Linked DNA regions of Mus musculus. The protein of the gene in region 2 interacts with the protein of the main gene of each other region in a biochemical or structural test. Links are inferred from orthologs where the notes say so. Each region holds a gene or a part of one and is shown on either strand. Other genes may lie near its edges.

Region 1 (7,773 bases), on a different chromosome or scaffold from region 2:
ACCTAATTAGAAGAGGGACAAAAATAAACAAACTTTTCCCCAAAGAGGGTGAAAGGCAAAAATAAGATTTTCAGCATCATTAGCAGCAGGGAAATGGAAATTAACATTGCAAGAAAACACAACATACACCTCTAAGAACAGCTGAAGGAAGACAGTGATTAAGGCCTAATGCCATCAGGGATGCAGAGAGACTGACAAGGGATGCACAAGCTCCTTTGGGAAACAGCTAGGCAGCTTCTTATCAGAACGAACACACCACTACAGTATGACCTGGTTACCACACTGTTGAATATTCATCCCAGACACATGAATACATAGACATGGACAAAAAAATGTAGATGGAACATGGCAGTCCACGCCTGTCATCCCAGCACTTGGAAGGGAGAATCAGGAAGGTCAGTTCAATGCCAGCCTCAGTAACATGCTAAGTTTGAGGCTAGCCTAGGCTACATGAGACTGTGTCATGACTAATCAATCGACCAACCAAACTAAAAGAATGCACATGAATGTTTTCAGAAGGCCTATTTATACTAACCAGAAGGTGGGAAGAGCCCAGACACCCCTCACCAGGTGAACGGAAAGGTGGACCATTACTCAGCAATAAGGCTGGAATTACTGCCATGTGCAGTTGCTTACACAGGGATTGCCACAGAAATGTTCTGATAAAAGTCAACTCCAAAAGCTCACACTGCGCAAATTCCATTTATAGAATATTATGTGTGGTGTGTAGTGCACACACATGAGTATGTGGGGTGCACACAGAGGCCAGAACAAGACATCAGGTGTCTTCCTCTATCACTTTCTGCCTGATTGCCATAAGAAAGAGTCTCCAGTATACTGGAAGCTCATTCCTGCCAGTCTGGCTGTCAAGCAAGCCACATCTGTTTCTGGTGCCTCAATGCTGGGGTTCACAGGCCCTGCCCAGCTTTTTACATGGGTGTTTGGGATTTGAATTCAGGACCCCTGCTTGCAAAACAAGTGCCCTTACCCACTGAACCAATATTCCTGAGCTGACAAAATGAGAGAATTGGGCAAACTGAGTGATAATGCCAGGATGGGAAGAGGAGTGGGAGGGGTTTAAGGTTGAAAAATTAAATTCTAATTAATTACAGCAGATGAAACATGTTCAATAATGAGTAAAATAGTTGGGAAGAAAAGATGGTGTGGAAGTAGAAGAGGGATTTGTTAGAAGGGGCTCAGTGGGACTAGGAGGGGAATGGAAGAGAGTGATAGGGTCTAAAAATAACCAAAAGACATCTTATACATGTATGAAATTGTAAAGGACTAAAAATTTTAAATTATTACTAAAAAAAAAAAAAAATGAATCCAGTTTTAAAAAAAGGCATTGTATCAAACCAAACAAGCAGAGTCCTTATTAACAAGTCCTGCTTCTGTTGCTAAGGAAGCCAGTAAAAGATTGTTGGCCCATGGTTTTCCCTGCTGTTCTGCTCCCACCCCAAGGTCTGAGGGGGGAGTAAGGGGCAGGAACATCCAGCTTATAACCCTCCCCACTAATCCCCAGCCTGCCAGGTCCACTGGGGCACAGCCAGCAGAGGTGAGCAGTGTCCTGTTTCCTGCGATCCACTGATCCACTCTCAGGCTCTGCCTGCCTCCCCAGGAGTCCTGCTGACATTGAGAACATCCAGACAACAAGAGGGACAATAGCTAAGGGGCAGTGTAAGAACACAATCAACAAGAGCCAGGCAACATGGCATCACCAGAGACCAGTTACCCTGCTACAGCAAGCCCTGGATATCCTAACATAGCCAAAGTACAAGATGACCTTAAATCCAATCTTATAAAGATGATAGAGGCCTATAGAGAGGAGATATATAAATCCCTTAAGGAGAATACAATCAAACCGGTGAAGGAAACGAATAAAACTGTCCAAGACCTGAGAATGGGACTAGAAGCAATAAAGACAACACAAACTGAGGGAGTCCTGGAGATGGAAGGACTCAGGAAGAGGTTTTATGTCAAAAAAAGCAAGCTAAATCTAAAAAGTTCATGGCACAAAACACCCAAGAAATCTGGGACAGGATGAAAGGACCAAATTTAAGAATAATAGGAACAGAAGGAGAAGATTTCCAACTACAAGACCCAGACGATATTTTCAACAAAATCATAGAGGAAGCCAGGAAAAGGGGATGCTGATGAGCACAGGAAGCCAGGAAAAGGGGATGCTGATGAGCACAGGAAGGAGACTGACTTCTCTAAAACGCACTTAATAGAGCAAAGTAGACTTGAGATCTATGTTCCCAAATAGTTTTTCTGCCTCCCAAGCTGAAAGAAACTGAGCCCTCCAAGCCTACCTGGCTCTGGGGTTCAGAAAAGCAGCAAAAATAAAACCAGGCTCCTTAAAGGAGATGCTGGAAAACAGGCCTTGAGTGACAGTCAAGTTTTACAAAATCCTTGAAGATGCCGGGAATTCTGAACAATATACCCATCCCTTTAAGGTTTGCATTAATGTTTATGAAGCACTTGGCCAGAACCCCTTGCTTCCCCGAGGCTCTCTCTGGAAGGTGAAAAGTGTGTGATTTTTCCTTCATAAGATTTTTTCCCCATCTTGAACCCAGAGGAGCTACTTGTATTAAAATGAAACATTTAGTAACAAACATGTTGAGTGTGGGAGTGTTGGCCCGGAAGTCTGGCTCCCAGGATCCCAGCCCAACCGCCCTACACCAAGGTTTCTCAAGGCCGAACTGAAAGACGTGTCCCAGATGGGCTTCTGCGTCCCCTTGCTAACTTAAAAAAAAAAAACCAAGGCCCTGTAAAAATCTAGTTTCGAGGGTAGCTTTTCTGATAAGACAAACCTCTCTACCTGCTTGAAACCGTGTTCCTCAGACCTGTCCCCCCACCCCCCAAAAAACCAGGGGCTTGGAAAGAATCAAGAAGAAAAAGAGAGATGAGAAACTTGACGAGGAAGCTAATCTAGGTGCAGAATAGACTCTGTGTCTAGACTTTTGCTACATCTTATTCCAATGTTGAGACAGGCTCTCACATAGTCCTGGCTAGCCTCAAACCGTCCATGCAGCTAAGCCTTGAACTTAAATCCTCCTGCCTCTACCTCCACAGTGCAGGAGAATCTCAAAATGCAGGAGAATGCTACCTTGACCAGTTTATCCCACACTCAACCCAGGGCCTTATGCACATTGGAAGAGACTTACAGAGCTACAGGCCCAGTTCTCCACAACTTTCTTTTTGACCCTTCTGCAAAGACTCACTGTATTAACACTGATCCTAGACTCTGTCAACATGACTGTTTCTTTCACATATACGGCACAGAATATAAAAGGCACAAGGGACAGGACCTTGAGTTCATTACCACATGAGGATTATTGCATCTAGTTCAAACAGACAAAACAACTATGCAACAATGAAGGACACGTGGACCCTGAATGACATGAGAAGGCTTCTGGAAGGTTCTTTGTTTTTGTGTTTTGCAGTGTAGAGGTTGGACGCCTTGGGCTTGTACTTGCTAGACTGGTGCTTTCCCACTGAACCATATTCCTAGTCTAATTTTTTTTTTCCTCTTCCTTTTTTTAGTTCTATAATGGTCCTGTACATATGCTTTTAAAGCAGGTTTAGTGTCACATACCAAGATGTTTTCTAATACAACTATATATCTTGGATTAACTTGGAGACTGGGGTCGGGGTGAGGCCGGGGGTACAGGTAGGGAGGTGGTTAGGGACGAACACGATTGGCACAGAACTGACCCTTGTTTCAATGCTGGGTAGTGGGTGTCTCGAAGCTCCTTCTAACATCTCACCTAACTTGGTGTGTATGTTAAATCACCATACTAAAAGGTTTAAAGAACAAAGTATGGGTGGCACATGCCTGTAATCCTACCACTGGGGAGACGGGTCAGAAGGATAAGGAGTTTAAGGTCAGCCTTGTCTACATGGCAAGGCCAGCCTGGGCTTCATGACTCCCTATCTCAAAAATACAAACACTGGCAACTTAGTCTAGTTAGTAATGTCCTCCCTAGCACGCATGAAGTTCTGGATTCAATCCCAGCACTACACGAACAAAGTATGGTGACACAGCGCCCTCCTCCTCTGTAATTCCAGGATTTGAGAAGTTGAGGAGAGAAAGGATCAGGAGTTCAAGGTCATTCTTAGCTACAGAGTGAGTTCAAGGCCAGTCTGGGGTATATGATATAATGTGTGTGTGTGTGTGTGGTGGGGGGAATAAAATGGTCAATTCTCATTTACAAATAAAAAACGAAGGCTGATGTCCTCCAACCTACACTATAAACTTTGCATGCTGGAGGGACAGGGAGAGTTGGCGACCCTCAATCCACGTGTCCAGCCCTAACACCCTATTTGTAACCCAAGTCCCTGAGAGTGGTCCAGCTTGCATTCCCACGGTCCCCAAGCGTCCAGGGCTCTGCAAATCTATCGCGCCCCTGGGAGGTCACGGGAGTAACCCCAACTGCATTGCTTGAGGTCCCTATTGGAAGGGAGGGGCGCCGGGTGGCAGGGTCGCGGGTCCGTGGAGAACAAAGGGGGCGGGGCCCGCGCGCCACCTGGACCAGGTGTGTGTGGGCGGGGCCGCGCGTCACCTTAAGGATGTTGTCGAAGATGGTGTCGCGGAACTCCAGCAGCGCCTTCTGGTCGAACTCCCGGCCGTGGATGATGCGCATCTGCTTGAGGAAGGTGGACTTGCCGCTCTCGCCGGCGCCCAGCAGCAGGATCTTGACCAGCCGCCGCACCGCGCGCCGCTCGCGGGCCAGCAGCGCGTCGATGTCGCGGCTGCGCCGTCGGGCCTCGCGCTCCGCGTCGCGCGCCGCGCCCGCCCTGCGCTCGCGGGCTCCGGCCTCGGCCGGCAGCAAGCAGCGGCTAAGGGTCCGCACCACCCCGGACATGGCCGCCCTCAGGCCGCGGCCGCGCCCCGCTGGGGCCCGCGCGCCATGGACGCCCCTCAGCCGGCGCGGCCCTGCCGGGCCAGGCGCCGCCCCGCCCGCCGCTCCCTCAGGCTGCGTCCGCCGCCGCCGCCCCGAGGCCCTCACTCGCCGGGCCGGCTGAGGGGCGGAGGGGAAGGCGCGGAGGGCGGGGCGGCGCCGCGCAGAAACTCTTTTATTGGTTGGGAAGTCTTCTATCTTGGGCAGCGCGCTTTTTTACTGGACAAGCGTGCCTTGGAGGAGGCGGGCACTCCTGTGGTCCTTGGGGCGGAGCCGGTGCCGAAAAAGGCGGGATCTTTTCGATGAGGGAGCTTCTTATTGGACTGCTGAGCAAACTTCTTTCTTTCAGAATGAAAGGGAGGTGGGGCCATTGAGGAGGAGGAGCTGAAGCCCTTCGCAACCAATTAGAAGTGCTCTGATCGTTTGTCAGTCACAATAACTACGCTTGGGATTGGAAGTTGTGGGAAATGGGGCGAGGCCAAAAGTGCCAGGTGTACAGAGTGACTCTCTGCCTTGATTCCCAGGTTGGTCCGGCTGTGAGCCCAAGATGTGGCTGCAAAGTTGGGAAATAGCGATGAGGTCCTCCTGCTCTTAAGTTTAGGGAGAAAGCTCAGTCGTTTTCCTTCCAAAAACATTGAAGCAGGGTGGGTCATCATTTTCAAACAAAAGCTGCTTTGAGTGTTACATGGGCCCCAAATAAGGAGAAAACAAACAAACAAAATTATTGTATGGGTCTCCCTAGGCACTTTCTTAAAATATGATTAAGGGGAGATGGTTCAGTGGGAAAGAACTGTGAAAGTGTGAGGACATGAGTTCAAATTTCCAGTTGTGCCTGTAACCCCACCTCTCAAAACCCAAGATAAGACCAATTCCAGTAACTTGCTGTGCAGCTATCCTAGCCCCAATGATAAGCTTAAGGTTCAGTGAGAGAAGCTGTTTGAAACGTTACAGAGGGGAGGCAGTTGAGCGACTTCTTGGCCTTTGTATGTATGTGCACTGGCGCGCGCACACACACACACACACACACACACACTTGCACACACATGCACGAGCGCGCACACACACATCTGTGTTTGTCATAATCACTCAGGCAGTTTGATGTGGAATAGTGGTCTGAAGTGTGGTGTCTGAAGGGTGTTGGTGCTGCATGGAGAATCATTACAGAAGCAAGAGAATTGAGATGAGTTTGAAGCCAGCCAGGGCTACATAGTAACTCTCTCACCATCTTGGCTAGAGATGATGTTGCAAGAGGAGGTCAAGCTTGTGTGATATAATCCCAGTATTGAGAGAGCCCGAGACAGGAAAATATGGAATTTGAGGCCAGCCTGGACTAAAGCTTGACTCTGTCTCAAAATGTTTTTTTTCAATATGTGTACCTGTTCCATATCCCACTTTCTATTACAAACAGAAGACAACCTTTGGTGTTGGCCCTTGCCTTCCACCTTGTGTGAGGCAGGGTTTCTTATTGTTTGCCATTGCATATGCTGGGGTAGCTGGCTCAGAAACTGAAGATAGCCCATCTCTACTTCCCATCTTGCTTGGAGTACAGATGCCTGCTACTGCGTCTGGCTGTGTGTGGATTCTAGCGAATCTGAACACAGGTCCTCACTCCTTTGAAGCCAATGCTGTACCCACTAAGGGATCACCCCAGCTCACGGTTTATTGTCTTTTAAGAGAGGTCTCATTTATCTCAGGCTGGGAAAATTACAGCCAAGGATGACTTTAAACTCCTGATCTTCCCGCCTTTGCTTCCTAAATGCATGCCATGACACCTAAGAATATGTTTCTAAGACAGAAAATGGGGGAATCTGAACCCATGGACTAGAGTTCAAACCTTATTCAGTTTTAAAAACCTAAATTAATTCACAGTTTTCGGCAAATGCTCCAGACATTTACAAATAACTTTATAAATAGCTTGATGCTGGTGTTTATAGAATCATTAACTATTTTAAAGGGCCATTTAGCTTTTTTTTTTTAGTGACACATTGTGGTGTTTTATGGGAGAAATTATATACTGTTGATAGTATCTAATTTGGGACTTTGACAAGGGTTCTGGCCATATCCTTCACATTTGCTAAAAGGCTAAAGTGCTTGAAATAAACACGTGTATCCATGCACTCCATAATAGTCTCTTAATTACCCCTGGCATTTATATGGCATGCTGTAATTTCTAAAGTGCTTTACATACATTATCTGATGTCATCTGTTCTCTCCACACCGCTGGGAGAGAGGCAAGTTACAGGGTAGCTCTAATAAAACAATCGGAGGGCTGGAGAGATGGCTGGCTCAGTAAAGTGCCTGCCAGAGCAAGCGGGGACCCCTGACTTTTGATTCCCCAGAACCTATGGAAAATGCCCGGGTGCTAGTGTGTGGCTCCAATCCCTAGTGGAGGTCAGGAGAAGAGAGAGAGAGAGAGAGAGAGAGAGAGAGAGAGAGAGAGAGAATATCATTCTGGAAGCTTACTGGCCAGCCAGGCCAGCTGAATCAATGAGTTTCAGATTCTCCTGTGTCTAATTTGCTCTTCTGTACTCGTGATGACAGACCATGACCAAAAGCAACTTGGAGAGGAAGGGGGTTATTTTAGCTTACAGTTACAGTTTACCACTGGAAGCCAAGGCAGGAACTCAAGGCAAGAGGTTGAAGCAGAGACTGTGGAATACTACTGCCCACTGGCTTGTTTGCCTGGCTCCTGCTCAGCTAGCTTTCTTATAAAACCCAGGGCCACCTGTCCAGGGCTGGCACTGCCCGCAGTGGGCTGGGCCCACCTATGTTACATTGGTCTACAGAAGATGCCCACAGGCCAGTCTGATTCCTTTTCCCCCAAATCTGTCAAATGACAACTGAAGCTAACCATAACTGTATCAAAAGG
Region 2 (7,252 bases):
CTCTGGGATCATGGGCATTAGCCACCATACCTAGCAGTGGCTATGTTACAGATGACAAAGTAGGAAGCCAACCTTCTTTATCAATACTGAGAGAGAGAGGCTCAAGACATAGAGACATGTGTGACATGGGAGGATGACAGTTTACTAATCACTGAGAGGCTTAGAGGCAAAGAATCTAGAGTCCGAAACCATGTTACAACCCAAACCTTTACCAGTCACTCATTGTACAACCTTGAAGAGGACTTCTAACCACTTTGGTCCTCTTGTTCCCAAACCATACAACTGCTATCATTACAGCAGCGGCTTTCTGAGGATGTCACAAAGGGTGAACAAATGGTCTGAGCGGTCCTTAAAACAGCTGGACAAACAGTAAACATTCTGAAACTTCCAGTTTGTTTCTGGGTACCTGAGTCTACTTCATGGAAACTGTCACATGCAAACCTCTTTAATATAGTTTATGAGAAAACCACATTCTTAAGTATTAACCACTGTTTGAGTACGCAAATGCAAACAACAGGGATAATATTTAGATCACAGAAGACAACAGAGCACCAGGACATTCCCTTCTTGTTTTGATACTTGAGCTGGAACATAACCTTTCATATGCTAAGCACATGCTCTACCACTGAGGATACATACTTACACACAAGGACTAGGGGGTTTTTTGGGGTTTGGTTTTTGTTGTTGTTGTTTCGAGACAGGGTTTCTCTGTGTAGTCCTGGCTGTCCTGGAACTCACTCTGTAGACCAGGCTGGCCTCAAACTCAGAAATCCGCCTGCCTCTGCCTCCCGAGTACTGGGATTAAAGGTGTGCACCACCAACGCCCAGCTCTAGTTTTGGTTTTTGAAACAGGGTTTAATGTATCGCAGGCTGGCTTCAAATTCCTGATCCTCAGCCTACCAAGTGCTAAGAGTATAGACATGTGTACTACCACAAAAAAAATTTTTTTTTGAGACTAGGTTTCATCACATACTCCAGATTTTTTGAACAATCTATGTATTTCTGTGTGTGAAAGTATACATGTATGTGTTAGTACGTGTGTATGAAGACTTAAGTGGAGGCCAGAGGTCAACCTAGGATGTTGTTTTCAGGACCTACTCGAGTTGTTCATGCATTATTTTATAAACTGGTTTTGAGGCAGGAGATTTTTCACTGGGACCTGGGACATGCCAATTAGTCTAGACTGATGAACCTCTGGAATCTTCCTATCTGTGTTTCTCCAGTGCTGAGCTTGTAAGCCTGTGCTGCCACACCCAGCCTTTTACATGGGTGCTAGAGATCAAACATAGGTCTTCTTGCTTACATGATAAGCACTTTACTACATTATCACACCAGTTCTGGTCTCAAACTGTTGTTCCTTCTGCCTCAGCCTCCCAAGTACTAAGATTACAGGCATGCACCATCATTCTCAACACAGGGATTTCTCCCAAGTACTAAGATTACAGGCATGCACCAACATTCTCAACACAGGGATTTGTGTGTGTGTGTGCGTGTGCGTGTGTATAAGAGAGAAACAGAGACAGACAAAGACAGAGGCAATATACAGGTATGCGTGTACATGTACATCTGTGCACACAAACGGAGACCAGAGGTCAATGTCAGGTGTATTCTTCAATCACTCTCCACATTGTTTTGTATGTGGCACACATACATGACTGTGCATGTGCATGGGTGGAGAAGCCAGAGGTTGATGTTGGATTATCTATCTCCCTTGATTGTGTTCCACCTCTTTGGGTTTTTTTTTTTTTTTTTTTTTTTTTTTTTTTTTTTTTGGTTTTTCGAGACAGGGTTTCTCTGTGTAGCCCTGGCTATCCTGGAACTCACTTTGTAGACCAGGCTGGCCTCGAACTCAGAAATCCGCCTGTCTCTGCCTCCCAAGTGCTGGGATTAAAGGTGTGCACCACCACGCCCGGCTCCACCTCATTTTTGGAGACCGAATCTCTAACTAAACCTAGACCTCACCAACTGCCTAGACTGGCTAAGCACCAGTAATCCACTCTTGTCTCTGCTTTCCCAGTGCTAGGATTACAGGTGTGCACCACTGCACCCAGCTTTTTACTTTTTATGTGGGTGATGGGAATCTAAACTCAATCACAAACATATTAAGCACTTTACTGATGGAGCTATCTTCCCAGCAAATATGAAGATTCCTTTGTCTGTGATCATCTGTGTATATAGAGCATGTGTGCCACAGTGTACATGTGGAGAACAGAGGACAACTTTCAGGAGCCAGTTCTTTTCTACCATATAGGTCCCAGGGACTGAATGGACTCAGGTTGTCAGTCTTGGTGCTAAGTGACCTCAGCAGCATAAAGATTCTTAATAGTGGGAAGCCAGTAGATAAATAGAATGCAAATTAGTGCATACTCAAATCATCAAACTTTACAGAGATGAGCTGAGAATAAGTTTTCTTATTGTGGCATCCATTGTGTTTATCTGATAAGAGGGGGGAAGCCCATATATGCATCCTCAGATTGTCAGAAATTATACCTTCCTGATAACAGGGAGTATAGCTCAGTGGTATTACATGTGCTTAATATGGTTACACACACACACACACACCCTATACAACCTTGCTTATATAAAATAAAGGCACAAAGTACTATGCTACATAGTAACTGTAGTGGCTAAAATGGTGCCACCCTGGTTTTTTCAGTGTGAATGAATTAATAGTGTTGATCATACCTTAATTACATCAATTATAATAACTACACAACGGGAATATAGAATATGACTATAATTAATATTGTTGTTTGCATCAAAGAAAATTTTAAGTATAAAATTATGATTAACAACAAGCCCACAACACAATGAGTATAATAGCAGTGACTCAGCAAAAGGAAGGACGGATATGAGCACTCCTGGAGCTGGAATTACATAAAATCTTCATGTGTTAAATAATCATGGGAAGGTCCTATGGCTAGATCTAGTTCCCAGCCAGCAAATAGCAATGTTCATCCAAAGAAAGACCATCATCATTGTCCTCATCTGCAGCCCATTGCTCAGAGGAGAAAGGGTCATCTCTTGGAGAGAAATTGAGCCTCATTATACTTCCAACATGGCACAAATAGAGTACACACCCAGGAAGTACCCCAGCATGGCTTTTTCCCAAACACTAAATGCTGCCTGCCACCATCCTGTCCCACTTACATTCACAGCAACCTCACCTGAGCACCTGCATCTCATTCTTGAAGGCCTGGGCCTGCTCAGCGGTAGGTTGGGCCACCTTGAGCACTTTCACAGCTACATCGCCATGCCAACGCCCCCGAAACACAGTGCCAAAAGAGCCTGTCCCGATCCTCTTCAACAGCTGTACCTCACTGGGTGGCACCTCCCAGTAATAGCCTGAGTCCCGGTACCCCAGGTTCTTCTGTGGGCCAGATGGGTGGCATCAGAGGGGCCTACCCACAACCCTCCGTCATAGCACTCAGGCTATGGTGGCCCCCAAGGATTTCCTATGGCATACCACTTTTTTCTTTTCATCTGCCAAGGACTTCCGCTCCCGCTGTTCTGAAGGTAACTTGGAATGTGGGGACTTCCTCCCTGAAGACACACTAGCTGGGCTAGGGCTACCCCGAGGGGCTCCATCACCACCTCTACCAGCAGCTGTGGTTGTACAGAATGCTGTGAGTGGAGGCAAGTGGGGTGGTGGGGCAGAGAGCTCAGGGTGCAGAAAGGGGTGGGGGTTCTCTCACCATCGGTGCTGAAGCTCTGAGCAGTAAACTGGAAGGAGGTGGGAGCAGAAGTCAAAGTGAGGATATGGCAATAGTAATGGCTCTAAGCAATGCTCCATGCTCCCCACTGTCACCTCCTTGACACCCACCTGCATGAGGCTGGAGTCCATGGGAGCTGTGGTGCTGACCATGTGGACGTTAGGAGTAGATGTGGAGCGGATGCGCTGCAGTGGGGGATTGGCAGGGGCAGGGAATGAGAAGTGCTCCTGGTCACGTTGCTGGGTAAAGGGGCTAATAGAGAAAAGGCTATGAAATCGCTGCAGAAGGAACTAAAAAGCAAAGAAAGCCCAACTCCACCACCCTGAATGTGCGTTCACTCAAACAGTACATGTCTGTTGGTCAGACCAGTAATCATCTGCCCAAGAAACATTTACTGAGTGCCTCCTGTGTGCCAGATGCAACTCGAAACAGAGGAGATCAAACTGTGGATACCATAAATAAAAAGCTCTTGCCCTTGTAGAGTTTTTAGCAGAGGCAGAAGAATAAAAAAGCAAATATATAATGTGCCTGTCAGTGATAGGCACAAAAAGAGGAAAATCAAATGAAGGAGGTAGAAAGTGTCCCTGGGGGAGTCAGGAGTGGGTTCTCAGAGAGGGTAATATTGGGAGAAAGGTCTAAAGAAGGAACAATGAAGGACAAAGATAGTTGGAGAAAGGGTAAGATATGACTTTTTATTACATATCATAATGACATGTATTTTTCAAATATATTATTTATTTTATAATAATGAGCATTACCTATATTAAAATGGCAACGTTTTCAATACACATATTATATTATGTAATACACATTACACACATCATATAACGATTATACATATATCACGTTACAAAACACCTTTTTTACTGTTTTAAGACAGTCTCATGTAGCCCAGGCTGGCCTTGAACTTGCTACTTAGTGGAGGGTAGCCTTGAACTATTGATCGTCTTGCCTCCACCTCCCATGAATTATACCTTACAGAAAAACATTCTTCTGTTACTTTCACCATCCTGAGATTAAATTCACAGGTAAATCAACACACATACACTCATAACTACAAATAATAATACATTAACCTTACTTTTTATATATTATGCAAAACTATATGCTATCATATCCAACATAAGTGAAATAAAAGTACTTTCTGATACAGTAACATTTATTTCAAAGAGAAAAGACTGGGGTGTGGTTATACTGGAAGAAATGAACAAACTAGATGATTTTATATATACACTTGTAATGAATAACACTTGTTATTTACTCTGTATCAGATCTTGCTTTAAGCATTGCAAATATCTCAACCCTTAATCCTCTTCAGAACCCACTAGGGAAAATCTCATCCCCTCTTCCCAGATGAAAAAAATGAAACCTGGAGTGACTGGGTGCCTTACCAATGATCCCACAATCCCATGCCCATATTCAACACTTGTAGGTACTCAATAGTATTTATCACGTAAACAAATAAACGAAAGTATAATCTCTCAGGGTCCTCCAATCCTTCTTTCACTGGCCCCCTGGCCTTTCATCTACGACATCCCTACCTGGGACCCTGGGGGGTTAGCAGCTCATTCACAGAGAGATTTGAGGGAGCCTCCTGCTGCCTGGAGCCTCCAGACAGATCCTGGATGCTGTGGTAGAACCTTGAGGGCATAAAGGTGTAAAACAAGAAGGCTGTGAGTATAGCTTGGCTGACTGTAAGCCCTCGTGCTGGGGCTTCCGTCCTCCCCACCCCTCAAGCCACCCCAGGCTGGGCTCACTGTCGGCGGTTGGTACTCATGTCAACGCAGACGGTGGGGACCTTGGAGGAACAATGCTGGTGGAACTTGTAGCCACAGGTCTGGCAGCGGAATCCATGGAACAGAAACTTAAGGCAGAAGTCACAGAAGGCCAGGCTGAAGAATGTCTTCCGTACCTGCAGCCACAAAGCAGGGAAGTGCAGGCCCGACTGAAGGCCCTCTCTGTCCACACTGTGGCCTCCCCCACCATCCCCATTAGACTTACAAAATTGTGCATGGTCAGTGGCACATCTTCTAGGACCTCCACAATGAGCTCCTCACCATCCAGAGGCGCAATGGCTGTGTCCCAGGCAGTGACTGTCTTTCTTCTGCAAGAAGTATGGGAGAGAATGAGAGCGATGATACACTGGGACCACAGTAGACAGGGAAGTTCCCAAAGTTCCTCTCAGTCCCATCCACGAACCACTCTCCCACATGTTTAATTCTCACTACGTTAGTCACTTTTGGACAGGAGAGATGATGGCTCAGCAGTTAAGAATACTTGCTTTTCTTTCAGAGGACCTGGGTTCAGTTCCCAGCACTCACACCGTGGCTCATAACCATCCTTAACTCCGGTGGGATCTTCAACCTTCTTCTGGCCTCCATAGGCGTGAGGAACACACACAGTGCACACGCATGCAGTCAAAACACTCATACACATAAAAAGGGTAACATTTCAAATAAAAAATAAAGTTAGTCACTATTTTTACTCCCACTTTACACATGAGGAAACAGGCTCAAGCAATTAGGTGAATTGCCCAAGCGCTAGGCTAACAGGTATACCCACCACTCCCAGATTTAATCCATGATCTTAAGCATGTGGTGAGAGGCAAATGAAACTACATCTCAGGCGTAGTAAGCCAGCACCTGAGACACTGAAACAGGTAAAATGAAAACAGGAACTCCATCCAAAACATTAAGGCACCAAGGAACACAAGAATAGAAAGGTCAGGCAGGCGTGGTGGCGCACACCTTTAATCCCAGCACTCGGGAGGCAGAGGCAAGTGGATTTCTGAGTTCGAGGCCAGCCTGGTCTACAAAGTGAGTTCCAGGACAGCCAGGGCTATACAGAGAAACCCTGTCTCAAAAAAAAAAAAAAAAAAAAACAAACAAAACAAACAAACAAACAAACAAAGAATAGAAAGGTCAATGAAGACCACCAACTCCATGGTGTATGGGGACCATGAGAAAAGAAAGAGCTTGTGACTTCAAGAAATGGTGAAAGAACAAAACAGATGAACTCTGGAAGGTGACAGACTGAGGACTTGAGGGCTGAGTGCATAGTGAATTGCAGACCTTCCAATGGTCAATGAAGGGAAACGAAAGATGTCACCTGGGTTACCTCAGATAGTGGAAGACTCCAAGACAAATGAGGAGGAATAAGATGGCACTGAAGAAAGGAGGTGTGTAGGGACCCAGTGAATGGCATGGGGTTTCCATACTTACCCTTTGATGAGCCTGTAGACCACACAGCAGTCCTGGTTGAGACCCCGCACCTTCAGGGCCTTGTCCAAAGAGTCATAGACACTCATGCCTTCCCGGACAGTCACCTGTGTGTGTGTGTGTGTAGAGATTGGGGTCTTCAGTATCCAATAGGTACCCTAGCCAATTATTCCTTCCCTCTGCAGCATTCATTCCCTAACCCTCGCCACCCTTCTGATCCCACACTACGACTATCTGGAACCCCTGCCAGTACTGCCTGAGTGACTCACCACTGTGCGTTGCTTGTTAGGCAGGTACACTTTGACAGTGCCAACTGCCCGA

Evidence for each region. The genes of interacting proteins can lie anywhere in the genome.
Region 1: the proteins of Araf (region 2) and Gna12 form a complex in vitro, tested with the Homo sapiens proteins (2 studies listed by BioGRID). The link is inferred for Mus musculus from reciprocal best matches to the Homo sapiens genes ARAF and GNA12.

Annotation. Positions count from the first base shown.
Region 1 is NC_000071.6:140,825,429-140,833,201, forward strand, and holds the start of Gna12 (guanine nucleotide-binding protein subunit alpha-12), read right to left. Parts: upstream 5,004-7,773; 5' UTR 4,869-5,003; coding exon 4,566-4,868; intron 1-4,565. UniProt on the Homo sapiens protein: Guanine nucleotide-binding proteins (G proteins) are involved as modulators or transducers in various transmembrane signaling systems. Activates effector molecule RhoA by binding and activating RhoGEFs (ARHGEF12/LARG).
Region 2 is NC_000086.7:20,850,031-20,857,282, reverse strand, and holds part of Araf (serine/threonine-protein kinase A-Raf), read right to left. Parts: coding exon 7,201-7,252; intron 7,039-7,200; coding exon 6,935-7,038; intron 5,818-6,934; coding exon 5,715-5,817; intron 5,626-5,714; coding exon 5,471-5,625; intron 5,354-5,470; coding exon 5,255-5,353; coding exon of another isoform or gene 5,251-5,254; exon of another isoform or gene 4,378-5,250; intron 3,966-4,377; coding exon 3,824-3,965; intron 3,724-3,823; coding exon 3,696-3,723; intron 3,607-3,695; coding exon 3,467-3,606; intron 3,371-3,466; coding exon 3,168-3,370; intron 1-3,167. UniProt on the Homo sapiens protein: Involved in the transduction of mitogenic signals from the cell membrane to the nucleus. May also regulate the TOR signaling cascade. Phosphorylates PFKFB2.